Linked DNA regions of Schizosaccharomyces pombe. Changing the gene in region 1 together with any one later gene gives a genetic interaction. Each region holds a gene or a part of one and is shown in the gene's direction. Other genes may lie near its edges.

What was found. A genetic interaction does not mean that the proteins touch.
Region 2: mutations in hap2 (region 1) and rdl2 together harm fitness more than expected from each alone (negative genetic interaction), as found in Schizosaccharomyces pombe (one large-scale study listed by BioGRID).
Region 3: mutations in hap2 (region 1) and mmb1 together harm fitness more than expected from each alone (negative genetic interaction), as found in Schizosaccharomyces pombe (one large-scale study listed by BioGRID).

What each region holds. Positions count from the first base shown.
Region 1 is NC_003421.2:659,756-663,392, reverse strand, and holds hap2 (Ino80 complex subunit), read left to right. Parts: upstream 1-2,183; 5' UTR 2,184-2,211; coding exon 2,212-2,223; intron 2,224-2,268; coding exon 2,269-2,296; intron 2,297-2,348; coding exon 2,349-2,542; 3' UTR 2,543-2,653; downstream 2,654-3,637. Other genes in the region: protein asi1, read left to right, coding at 1-1,051; sif2 (Sad1-interacting factor 2), read right to left, coding at 3,072-3,095, 3,196-3,637.
Region 2 is NC_003424.3:3,837,659-3,841,475, reverse strand, and holds rdl2 (thiosulfate sulfurtransferase Rdl2), read left to right. Parts: upstream 1-2,005; 5' UTR 2,006-2,095; coding exon 2,096-2,194; exon of another isoform or gene 2,195-2,318; coding exon 2,319-2,370; exon of another isoform or gene 2,371-2,419; coding exon 2,420-2,639; exon of another isoform or gene 2,640-2,705; coding exon 2,706-2,763; 3' UTR 2,764-2,816; downstream 2,817-3,817. Other genes in the region: SPOM_SPAC4H3.06 (uncharacterized protein), read right to left, coding at 3,476-3,536, 3,586-3,665, 3,725-3,817.
Region 3 is NC_003423.3:2,607,687-2,612,893, reverse strand, and holds mmb1 (mitochondrial microtubule binder Mmb1), read left to right. Parts: upstream 1-2,253; 5' UTR 2,254-2,350; coding exon 2,351-3,856; 3' UTR 3,857-4,206; downstream 4,207-5,207. Other genes in the region: SPOM_SPBC25B2.08 (uncharacterized protein), read right to left, coding at 308-685; BTB/POZ family ubiquitin-type ligase substrate adaptor Btb2, read left to right, coding at 4,524-4,586, 4,789-5,207. UniProt on the Schizosaccharomyces pombe protein: Involved in the cell polarity process and in regulation of microtubule growth. Has a role in meiosis. Involved in microtubule dynamics.

The sequences.
Region 1 (3,637 bases):
CCTTTCAAACGCACTATACGCCCTCGACAACGTACAGACGTATATGCGTCCCATTTTCCAAGGTATCGACAAACGACGCGGATGGAAGTTGGACTGTACTTTCTCGTTTTTTAGCGATTTGTTTTCGCGATTCCCGGTTCAATCATGGTATTCCGAGGCCATTCGTGCTAATCTCCAGCCTTTGATGGATGCGGTTGTTGAACGCTTTATCACCGATAAAAATCTTTCTTCAGCTACCGTTATTCTTTCTAACCTTCTTAAAGCTGCTGGTCCCGCCTCTATTATGCCAAATGATGGGTTTATGATTTTGGTGATTGGTCGCTGCTCTGCTGAGATTCGAGGAAGTCTGGGAATGCTAGTTAAGGCAGTTGGTCAGAAAGGAAAGCATGGAACTGTGTCGTACACGGTTTGTGAATGCTATGAAGTTCTTGGACTCCTCATTCGATATCTATGTGAAAATTGTGACGTTCTTGCCCAAAGAATTGAGCCTGATAAATTTTTCCAACTTCAGCGATCGCTTACTGAGTTGTTTAGCGATACGATGGATTTTCTTCGTGATGCATGGGATAACAATAAAAACCGTGACAATTTAGCATCACATGTAACTGTAATCAGTGCTGTGGCTACCTTGTGTTTGTGGTTGACCGAAGATGACAGCCAATATGCACAAGCCTCTGGTCTTATGGACATATTTGTATATCTGTGGAGGCATAGCTGGTCGAATGGAATTGATTATGCTAAATGGATTAGCGTTGCTCTCCCTTCCATGCTGAGCAACAAGGTTTTCTTTAAAGCTTTTAAAGATTTTGATGCATGGAAAGTTGTTTATGACGATTTTATCAAGTGTAACGATGATTTAAAAGGCGACAAGTCTTTTAACGATTATATACTATCTACGAACGAAGAAGATGGGGAGGATGAACGACTTGCTCAAGCTATTCAAGATTTTCACATTCTCATTCAACTTAACTCTCTTGTTCCACAGTCAATTTGGAATGATGATATTTGGCAAGAGCCATATTGGAAGAATTTGCTTGAATCCAATTTTTAAAAAAGTTTTTGCTTTTAAAACAAATGCCCGCTTTAATATCTCCCCATAATTATTATTTTTCGTTCTTTTTAAGTTTTCTTTTTTTTTGGTCGAAAAAAACATGTCGATTTTTATTTGACAATTATTTAAGTGAAACTCTGCTTCTTTGTCTTTGTTTATTATTTTATTTGATTAATAACTTAATTTCTTGGGTACTTGAAGGGATCTTTAATTTAATACTTGGATTGTGTATCCGGGTTCTTATTATTGCCGTTGTTTTTAAACAATTTCTATGTGCTTTTGTTCATGAAATATTAACTCCTCTATCTTAGACTGGTTTATATTACCAAAAAATATACGTCTAAAACCTCTTTGACCCCTTCTCTTTTTTCTAATTTTCCTCCTCGCCCCTCTTTATTTAATTTCAGCCCACTCATAAATGTCTGTATTGTTTCAATTCAATGCTAGAAGCAAGGTGAAACCCTTGTATTTTTTATTATCTTTTTATCATTTCTGTTTGTTTTTATTTCGTTGTTGAACATTATTTGGTTTCAATTTTCTTTCAGAAGGTTCTTTCTGTTTTATTTCGCTTTTTCCCTTCTGAAAATTATTTTGCCAATGAGACACTGCTTTATTACTTGAAATTTTCTGTGCAACCGGAGCCTGGTTCTGCTGGAAGTATTCGTTTATGACAGTGCATTTATAAAACGAATGACAGATTTACTCTGAATCAGTGGCTGACAATATCATTTTTGAACTTATCCGAAGTAAATTCATGATTCTTTGTTATGAAATGATCATAAATCGTTTTTGAAATATTTGTTCACATGTATGATGTACCTTTGTTTATTGAAATTTGACTTTCGTATTGTAAATGTGAGACATGATCCATTCTTTTTCTACCCAAAAGAAGCAAAAATGTAATATGAATGGATAAGAGAAGTCAGCCAAAAAAGGATTAGCTTTATATTAGACATTTGTTTTTCACTAGCAATACCCAGCTGATGGGTAAGAAAACTAGATAACGGTTTCGGTTCGTATCGTTATAAACCCTTGGTTGCGTAATGTAGTAGGCAATCTTCTATAACGAAGTAAGCAGTTTTTCGTTAAATACAATACAGATTTTAAGCAAACTAGCTTTGCATTCTTCACCAGAAACTGAGAACGTGAAGCTTTCGGGAATGGATCCACAGGTAGGAGGTTTATTACCTATTTGTAATTATTTATTGACCGCGTAGGTGGTAAATTTGCTTCAAGAAACTGAAGGTGTGTACCGATTTTTGTCTGACGACTTTTTGCTAATGAACTCGACGTATAGAGGACGTGTATCGGCGTAAAACCGCAAGGATTCGAAGAAAAGTCTCGGAAATTGAAAAGGAATGCGAAATGTATGCTGTGAAAATTTACAACGTTGAAAGAGACATTCAGCGGTATCGCCATGAAGCGCAATTGCTATCTAAAGTGCTCGAGAAAAAAGGGTTAAATAAAGAAAAGGAAGCTGGTGAGACATAATACTTGTTTTAGGCAGGCGCTTGATGTTTTTATTTTTAAGTCTTCATTCGTTTTAAAATCACTTTGCCGGCCATTGATCTATAATCGTTAACATGCTTTTTTTTGACTAAGTATATGAAGTATGTAATGATTGATGGTAAAAATTGGACTCTGCAACCGAAGAAAAAAAACCTTATGTAATTTTTTGAAAAGTCATACTTTGTGCCGAAATCAATACAATATCTACGTACTATGGCTGTTGTTGTCCTTTTTTGTGTAACCCATTTCAACGTTCTTTTATGTGGGAAATCAACTAGGAATCTTCAAAGAAGAGAAAAAAAGAGCTTTATCTTCTATTAAGTAGGATTATTATAGAAGACTACCGTGTAATGTCAATAAATCATGAACTAACCGAAACTAAAAAAAAACTAAAGGAAAAAGCCGAAACATATGCGTAATCAACTCGATAAATATGGTTTAATTTTTTTGCCCTTTCCCATTTCTTCAATTATGTAAACATAATGTAAAAAGAGGAAAGATTCTTCGGTTGTTATTGAAACAGCTTCCAATCCACCTATGTAGAATAATGTGTTAGCAAACAGTAAAATAAATTTGTTGGAATTGTTGATTACTAAACGGAAGTCATTCAATTTGAAACCATCGGCCAAACGTACCACTATACTGAATAAGGCTATCAGCACCAACAGCCCCATAAGGATTACCACAATCCATTCTAGAGATTCATCATGTGTATGTGTTATCTGTTCTTTCAACATTGAAAGTAGGTCTCCAATTACCTCCACTCTTTGATTTAGTAAAGCAACTCTTTGGTTAATTTCCAAGTAAGACCGTGCTGCTGTATATATAGGTTCTAACTGCGGCTCCGTCCACATCAGCTCAGGACTATCCAAAACGCTTCCTTGTAAATTAATGTTAATTCTTAAAATAAACAACTGGCCTACGGCCATCATAATTTCCTCTCTTTTCAAATTCACTCTGCCAGTCTCGGCAATCATTTGGGGTGTATCTTTAGTAGCATCTATTGTTTCGTTGACCAGCTCTTCAAATAGTGATATTTTGACTGATTGAGCAATAGCATGTGAAATTGAAAGACGA
Region 2 (3,817 bases), on another chromosome or scaffold:
TTTTTTTATTTTTTGTCGGAGAACATCCATTTACGTTTCTATGTCATAATCCCCTGATGTATAGGAAATGAACGTAATTTCGAGAGAGAAATCCATTCTCGACAATCTATTCATTCCGCCTAATATTTTTATTCATTCCGCATAGTACTAGAAGCGTGGGAACGGTGTTCCGCCGCTTTGCAATCTCTTTAATTGATATGAGTTAACTTTATACTTCATCCGCCTGCGATTCAAGGTTCGCTTGTATTCAGCAGTTGCGGCTCGATCAGGAGTCTCGTAATCCAGGATTTCGTAAATTATGGCATTGTGATCATGGATCATTAAAAAAAAAATTAAATGTTGTAAAGGTGAATTGAAACGAAAGACAACCATCATTTCAAGCTAAACCTCAATCCAACATCCAAAGAATCAACTAAGACCTAACCGGTATTCACTCTTTAATATGATATCCCCTCTTTATCAGTGATGTTTTCGGGTATCGCAATTATGAAGTAAGTCATTCTTCATAATATTTGATTTCGATGGAAAAAAAGCGCAAAAAAAAAAGAGGAAGAAAATATTAACTAAATCAAAACAGTACGTAATTGGTATTCACAGTTGGATTAAAAGTCTGCTTAAGGAAATTAGCTATTAGCACTAGTTAGCTATGATCAACCGCCGACTGTTGTATTCGGTACCGAGCGACAAGGTTGGTACAATAAGGGACTAAGTGAATGAATGAAATTAATGAAAGCGAATGAATAAGGTAAATATTAATTTAATGGGTGAATTGTAAATAAATTATATTGAGTATTCGAGTGAAACAGATGAACTGTATCGAATTAACCGTTCATATATTTGTCCATAAAAGATTGTAAACCAGAGAGGTATCTTAAACACTGAATCTTACTGACCTTCATTTTTACAAGTTTTTATTTTCCTTCATCCATTGCAATCATTCATTTCGGATGATTGAATTGGAAAACATTGCCAATATGATTATTTAGGTTCATTATTTTATATATTTATTTATTGGCATAAAATTTTTACTACTAGTTTTTCTGCCGCTAAAAGAAACAATAATTTATTCTAGATATAAATTTCTTTTTTTATTTTTTATATTTTAATGGACGCATGTGAATCACTTTTCCATTTGAAATTTCAATTTTCAATAATATGCTGCTACCTTAGAACTTGCAATATTAAAATTGATGCGAAATCTTAGTAAACGTAATATCATGTGCAATACAATCAAAAGTGATTTGAACTGTGACCTAATATCAAAGGTGGACTTACAACCTGTTTTCTAATTGTACTGGCAAATTTAAACATCATGCTTACGTTAAACCTAGCGTTTCTCCATTGCGAGAATATCAGCACTCATAAAAATTTGTGTACTGTGATTTTTTTCCTATTACATTAGCATTGAAGCATGCCATGACATTACAGTACAGTGCATTTCAGGCCCGACGAGAAAAAATAAATAAATAAACTTACGTATACATCTATATAAATCAGCGTCGTATGAATTCCTGTTTTCTCCTAATGATAAAACAAACAACTGTAGCTCAATTGAAAATTAGAGTGCTTGTTTCTGTCAGTGTATTTCCAACAAACATAATTTTATGAATAACAAATTATCCATAAAATGCTTTTTGGTAAATCCATATGCTACCTCCATATAGTAATATACACAATTAAAGATCCGCAATTTTAAAGAACTGTGCCAAAGACGTACGTACAGTTCTATTCTATGAACTTATATACTGAATATGTAATTGTTTAAAAGTGAAACATAGAAAATGCGGCAACTTCATTTTTCCCGATGGATGAATCGCTCTTTTCTTGAATAGTAACTTTAAAAACTACCGTTTTAAAAAAGAAAAATATTATTGAAAAATCTCGAAAATACAAAGATCCATTTCATTTATTGATTCCTCTGAACACAAGCCCCTATAACACTTCAAACCTGCCGATTTCGTAATAGCGATCGTTCATATAATCATACTACTCACCGATCACGCTTATACCACTACCGTCAACTGTGGGAATCTGAGATTTAACCTGCCTGCTGAAAGGGGCCATCTAGCTGTAATAAACCTTGTTTTCACCCATAATGTTTTCTAAAACTCTTTCCGTATCTCGCCTCCTGATGACCCGCTCTTTCTACAGTTCTACAGTAGTTAAGAATGTCAGCATCTTTGATTTCGAAAAGGTAAACCAACATAGGAATACGTTTGCTTTCATATGCGATGTTTTCTGGTTAAAGCTAAGTTTTACACTTCGCTACTCTACTCTCCAAGTATTTTGGAATTATTAACGGTACTAACTTGAAATAGGTTTATAACCTTAGTAAAAGACCAACTGGCGACAAATCCACCGTTTTAATTGGTAAGGACAATACAATAGTGAGTTAAAACTTATTCTGCTAACATGTCAGACGTTCGTGAGCCCGATGAATTTAAGCAAGGTGCAATCGAAACTTCTTATAATTTACCTGTTGGAAAAATCGAGGAAGCCATGAAACTTAGTGACGAGGAGTTTTCCAAGACTTATGGATTCAGCAAACCCGTTTTTGAGGACAACGTTGTAGTTTACTGTCGCTCTGGTAGAAGAAGTACGACCGCTTCTGACATTCTCACCAAACTCGGCTATAAAAAGTATGTTTGTATAGGTGAACAATTCCACTTAATTTCGAGAACAGTGTTCAAAAACTAACCTTTTAGTATTGGAAACTACACTGGCTCATGGCTTGAGTGGTCCGACAAAATTAAGTCTAAGTGAGGGTAGACTCGAACGCTTTCCAGCCTTCTCACCCATTACGTTACCTTTTAGTTTTATATGTAGTTTAAGTTTCTAGAGTTGAATGCATGCATCGTATGCTTGCTCACCATTTTTAGATGATAAGTAAGGTGTACTTAGAAAACAAAAACAATTTTACTGCAATGTAACAATAAGGTGAATTGAACTATGATAAGTTACTTACTCAAGCGATTTATTCCTTCGCATTTCTATTGTCAAAGACTTCGACGAAAGGGTAAAGCTGTAAATACATTGGAAGCTATTAATATGGGAAAATATATTTTGAGACAGTCATTGTAGTTAATTCCGGGTTTAGAAAGAACACCTCCAAATTCAATTAAACTAGGGAATACAGTTCAAGCACGTGTTAAAGATAACTCTAAGAAATTAGTTTTCGAACAACCAGGTGGAATTAAAATTGATGGGTTTTTGACATTTAAAGGCTTGAAGAATACTATTCATACCTTGCCGGTTTGCTCAAAACGCGAATAACATTTTTTTCTTTTGCACTGAATGTTACAATCTCAATTACAAGTATGATTAGAAAGGAGACCTTTGAACTGACTGTCCCCTAAATTTCTAATGTAGAATTTTTACTTTCTCTAAATTTAAGAAAATTCAGAATCATACTTCATAATGTTACTCTTGCTAAAGAGAAAACTTGGATATGCCATAGTAATTAAACCAATTTTCTTCATATTTCATCCTTCATATTTTGTAAGATATCGTTGATTTCTTTAGAAAGTGAAGAAAGTCTAATAATTATTTGTTAGTTATATCTGGATAATTCAATTTTCAATTTACCTAGCTTCCAATTCTGAAATTTGCGTATTCTCAACTGGTGAATTAGTAGAAACAACTTTTAACTGCTCAAGTTTGACGGTCTGCAAATATTATACATTGTAAGTAACTTGCATAGAAAGATTTATGAAAAAAAATTTACCGCTTGTAGCTTAGAGCGCTCTTTTTCCTGTAAAGAATCCACCAATAGTTTAAGCTCCTTAGTAAGAGATGCTTGATAGTTTCGAATATCAGA
Region 3 (5,207 bases), on another chromosome or scaffold:
AAATTGTATTATTTATAAACTGGTAAAATTAGGAATGCAATATCTTGTGAAAGTAGATATTTTAATGGAAATGAAAGCAAAGCATTAGGATTGATTTAATTAATCAAATATAATGATGAGTCTATTCATGCGAAATAGATCATATTATATGTAAGCAACTGAGATCTCAGTTTAACTTAACAAAAAAAATAATTAGAACGGCAGAATTATTAAAAAAAAAAAAAATCAAAAATCAAAAATTTAGTTGGACAAAAAGATAGCATTATATATGAATTTATTTAATTATGCTGACATGTGCACAAAATAATCACGAACATTCCCCAATTACTGGCTGTTGTTCAATAGTAGCCAAAGCCAAGGCAGAAGTAGTACTGATTAAGACAGGAGATGAAATTGATCGTACCTTTTTAACCGACCTTATCCGTTGCTTACGGAGCCTTAGAATACCAAAGAAAAGTGTATCAAATAGTTTGAAGGAGCGAGAACGCTTGACAGAAGTATGTTTCTTAATACCAGAACGGGAACGATTATGCATAGGGGTATTTAATTTTTCACTCGATATACATAACTTAGAGGGATCTTCAATGTTGACAGAAGTAGGAAGTTGCGATGGACTGCGCATATCATTTGCCTGCGCATCATTAGTGCCTTGACGGGTATAACTGGAATTTTGATGTGGAAGCATGGTAATAAATTTTAAGAAAAAGAGAAAATAAAAGTAAAATGGAAACAAATCACAATCAAAGGTGAAGTGATGGGATTAAAGGTTTTAATGAGAAAATAATTCGACAAATATGTAACAAAGGGAAACTTTTTTTTTGAATTACACGAAATGTTTTCAAACTTGAATTATGCACAAAATTAGAGAAACCTGAGAATAATAAATAAGCTTGATAATCCAAATAGCCAAGGGATTAATGGGATATAGGGTTGTAGTGATATTTCGGGTGTTTAATTTATTTAGAAATGGGTATAAAGTCCAGACTGTAAACAGAAAATAATCAGTAAACGAAATCTTTAGTGTTCCGTCCGAAAGAAGTTACCCTAACGAGATATGAAATTATGCGAACAGACGAAGTTTTAGAAGCCGACAATTGAATAAATAAAGGATCAAACTTGCTTAGTTTTATCGAAGGAAGCAAAGCAAGAGAACCGTGAGTAGGAAATAGAAAGTGAACAGTAATAAAAAAAAGTAAAACAGTAGGGAACGTTTTCTTAGAGCTTATTACAATTACGAAAAATAAAGCTTATCCCAATTGAGATAGTTAAAAAAAAAGGAACGAAATAAAACGATATGAAAGACAACAAAGGATGGAAAAACAAAAACAAACCGCTGAATGAATTAATCAAAAGAAAGCGGAAAAATTAATAAATACTCATCAATAGAGTAGCACAAGATGAAGCGAAGGGAGTAGGACAAGGCGTTAAGCCTGCGTTTAGTCTGAACAATAGATATAGACTAAAAAGTGAAAGACGGAATTTCAAAGTCTTAATTGGGGTATTCTATGTATATATACGTCCATATCTGGTAACATTTGCAAACCGTCTTTGATGTCAATTTAATAAGGAACCGAAGGTAACTTGCACACCTTGAGCAGTGACTGGGAGTAACACTCTCCTTGACATTCCCTCGGTACATAGGAGACGAATGAACCGAATGAACAAATAAACTAGATAGTTGCCCAAAAATGCACACAAAGCATTATCACTTTTATTAATTCAAATAACGACATACCAAAGTCGTAAAAGTTGGTAACAAACTCTTCAAATGATATTTCTACTATAACATTTTTCGTAGTACTTACCACTACGGGAGATTTGTAGAATCGGTATGATGCTGTGGAAGAAGAGTTATAGCGGGTTTCCTCAATGTGTACATGTTATTCTCATTGTACACTTGCATCTTAATTTTCACATTGCTCTCTCCCATCAATGATTTGCTTTGGAAAAACAACGGGAACAGAAATCTGGGAGGGAACGGAAAAGTATATTCATAGCAATCACAATTTAACGATAATTATTATGGTCAAATGAATACATATATTGAAAAGAATCGGTCAGCTGGATAGAAAATATGTAAACAGTGCAGCACTTATGAAGGTAATTTTATTTGTTTGCATCAGGTAGCAAGAGTTTTACGGGGATTAATAGAATTCGTTATATATACACTAACAATATAGGACGTAGTTTGTTATTGCTACCTAGTGTTGGGCGATACCAGCTAACGGTGTAGTGTATTTGGCTTTCTCTTTTGTGCATTCAGGGTTGTTGATTGCGAGTCTTATTCAATTTTATTCTGCCAATGCCGGGTTCACCAAGCCAAGAGCCTTTGGCAGAGGCCGAGTCTAATATGCTTCAAAGACTGGAGCAACTACAAATGCAAACATCGAATATTCTCAAGGAACTGCATTCTACGTCGATTTTCACGGATTCTACCACCTCACAACTTCATAATGGAGGTGAGAACTCTGTAATGGATACTGAGGAATCCTCGGCTATTGATAAATTAAGTGCCTCTTTACAGCAAGTAAACATTTCTTCACCATCAGTTCCTACCTCTCAATCTCGGGTTACCCAAGGCCAGTCATTAGGAAATACCCAAATATCTAATCCTACTTCAAAGACTAATAATGTACGAGCCAAAGCTCGGAATATTCGTAATCCCTCTCAACGTCTTCGACCCTCGACTAGTTTGGCCAGGTTATCAAATAACGCACCTCGCATTCCCAAAGAGGCATCACTACATGAGAATTCAATTTCTTCCAAGGAATCTCCTTCTGTAACGACCTCTAAACATGTCGCTACTATTACAAAACCTTCAACGTCGTCTATCGCCCGAATGTCCTCAAATGCTAGAATTGCTGCTATTCCGAGAGCGAAATCTTCAATGGCAGTTCGTTCACCATCACGCCTTGGTAATGGCCCGAATGTGCGCTCACCAAAGGTCGGCTTCAATGCAAAGTCGGATGATAGCCCCGTCGTCAAATCTCCTGGCTCTAACGACAAGCCTTCAGCTTCTCCTCGAATTTCTGTTCGTTCTCTCGGAAATTCTTCTGTCGTTCGTCCACCCACAAGGACTTCCACCACCCGTCCATTATCTAGAGTTAACGTAACAAATGCTTCCGGAAGTATCTCAAAGAATTCTACTAGTCCTTCCAAAGTAAAAGTCAACGCATCGACCAAGATCGTGCGTCCTGTAAGTGCAGCTCAGACTGTCCGACCGGGATCCAGAATCTTCAGAGAAAACTCTGCGTCCAATACTCAAAGACCCAACGTCTCTGCCACTTCTAACTCAACTGTTCGGGTAGCTTCTTCATTAGCTGTACGACCTGTTTCACGTAACGCGCAGGCGCGTACTCCCTCAAGATTAGAACAGAGAGAAGTTAATGTGAAAAATTCATCAGCTAAAATCGTTCGTCCAGGTACTTCTTTAGGTGTTCGTTCACCTTCTCGCATTCAATCCACTCTCTCTTCGAGGACAACTACAGGCAATGTTCGTACTAAAGCGGCTAATATCGTTCGTCCTTCTTCATCAATCAACCGTCGCCCTCCTTCGTCAATAAATCAACGCCCTCCTTCAAACTTGCGCATTTTGGCTCCATCTCGCTCGCGTGCAACAATTCATGAGAGACCAAGCAGTTCAATTTTACACAGGCATGCCCATTCACTAACTTCTTCATCCTTTTCCACTAAAACATTGGCTACAACCAAAGAAATTCAGAATTCGCCTACTTTGGTAGAGTCTTCGACAGTCGTTCATCATGATCCTTCTTATCTTCAAAACCAAACTTCCGAAATTAACGATACTAATCACTCTTCTCATTCGTCACCTTTGGACCTTAACAGAATGATATAAAAGTTGAGTGAGCTGCTGTAATTTGATGGCTTCTGTTCCATTTACACTTATTATTCTGCATAATTTATATCACATGTAGATGTTTTATCATAAGGATATTATTATTAAAAATAAGACAAACCATACGGGAAGAATTGGATGTTACGATTTGATATATTACTTTGTATTACTTAAGATCAGCTAATTAATAGCTTTTAAGCTGAAATTATGTTGCATAGGTTTATTCAGTTGAAAGCTTCACGACTGACTTGATGATAGTCGAGAAGTTTAGAGGGATGCGCTCTGTGTTAAAATTCAGCATGCAGCAACATCAGCATACAACCGATATGTAATAAATTAACATTAACAAACTGGCATTGTTTTCGTGCTCTATCAACTATCAGCAGTAAGTAATTGAAGACATTATGAAGTAAATGAGATTGCTGCATTACTAATTCATTTAGCAAAAAATTAAGTAAATAGAAGGGTTAATTTGTGCAACTTGTACGGTATATTTTGGATAGCGCAATTACGTTACGATTCATAACTGCAAGAATATCGAGCTACTCCAGTGCGCTTTCCTTAGGAAACCAAAACAATATTTTAGTACCTTTTTTTTAAATATTACTGACGAGTTTCATTCTGATTTCTTTTTATTACTCCTAACGGATGTGGCTTTAATACAATCATGTCAATGAACAGCTCAACGGAAATTTCTCAAGAGCCCTCTATAATGAAACCGGTATCTTCAGTAAGTATTTTTGCTATTTGAACTTCTGCGTACCTTGAGTCTCAGTTCTTGTATGAACTTTACTCTCAAATTAATGGTTGTTTGCGTAGTTAATTATTTTGGATTTATTGTTAAATCGTTCATGTTTTGTTTAACGATTTCCAAACAAAAAAAGTCTGAATATTTTACCTCTCCTTCAAAGAGTTTGTCTAACCCTAGCTAGATTTCAAGTTTCGTATTTAATGCAGGATTTTTACAGGGAACTTTCTCTGACACTACTCTCATTATAAAAGGTGAAACATATCATTTGCATGCCCTTTTTCTTGGCAGATCACCTGTTCTTCTACAAAAGCTTATTGAAAATAATCCCAAAGGTGATGTACATTATACCATAGAAGTAGAGACAGAGGATCCCTATGTTACTAAGGAATCCTGTTTGTTTGTGCTTTCTACATTGTATTGCGATTCCCCAAGAATCCCTGCTGAGGTGAATGTTTGTTCTGTTTTAGCGGTTAGTGATCTTCTTGGGTTAGACACGTTGGCTTTCGAAGCATCCTCACTCATAGAAAAGTCGATTAGGCCAGAAACTATGGAATCTGTGATAAGATTTCTTGACCCTAACTTTGAAGGTCTTGAGCGTCT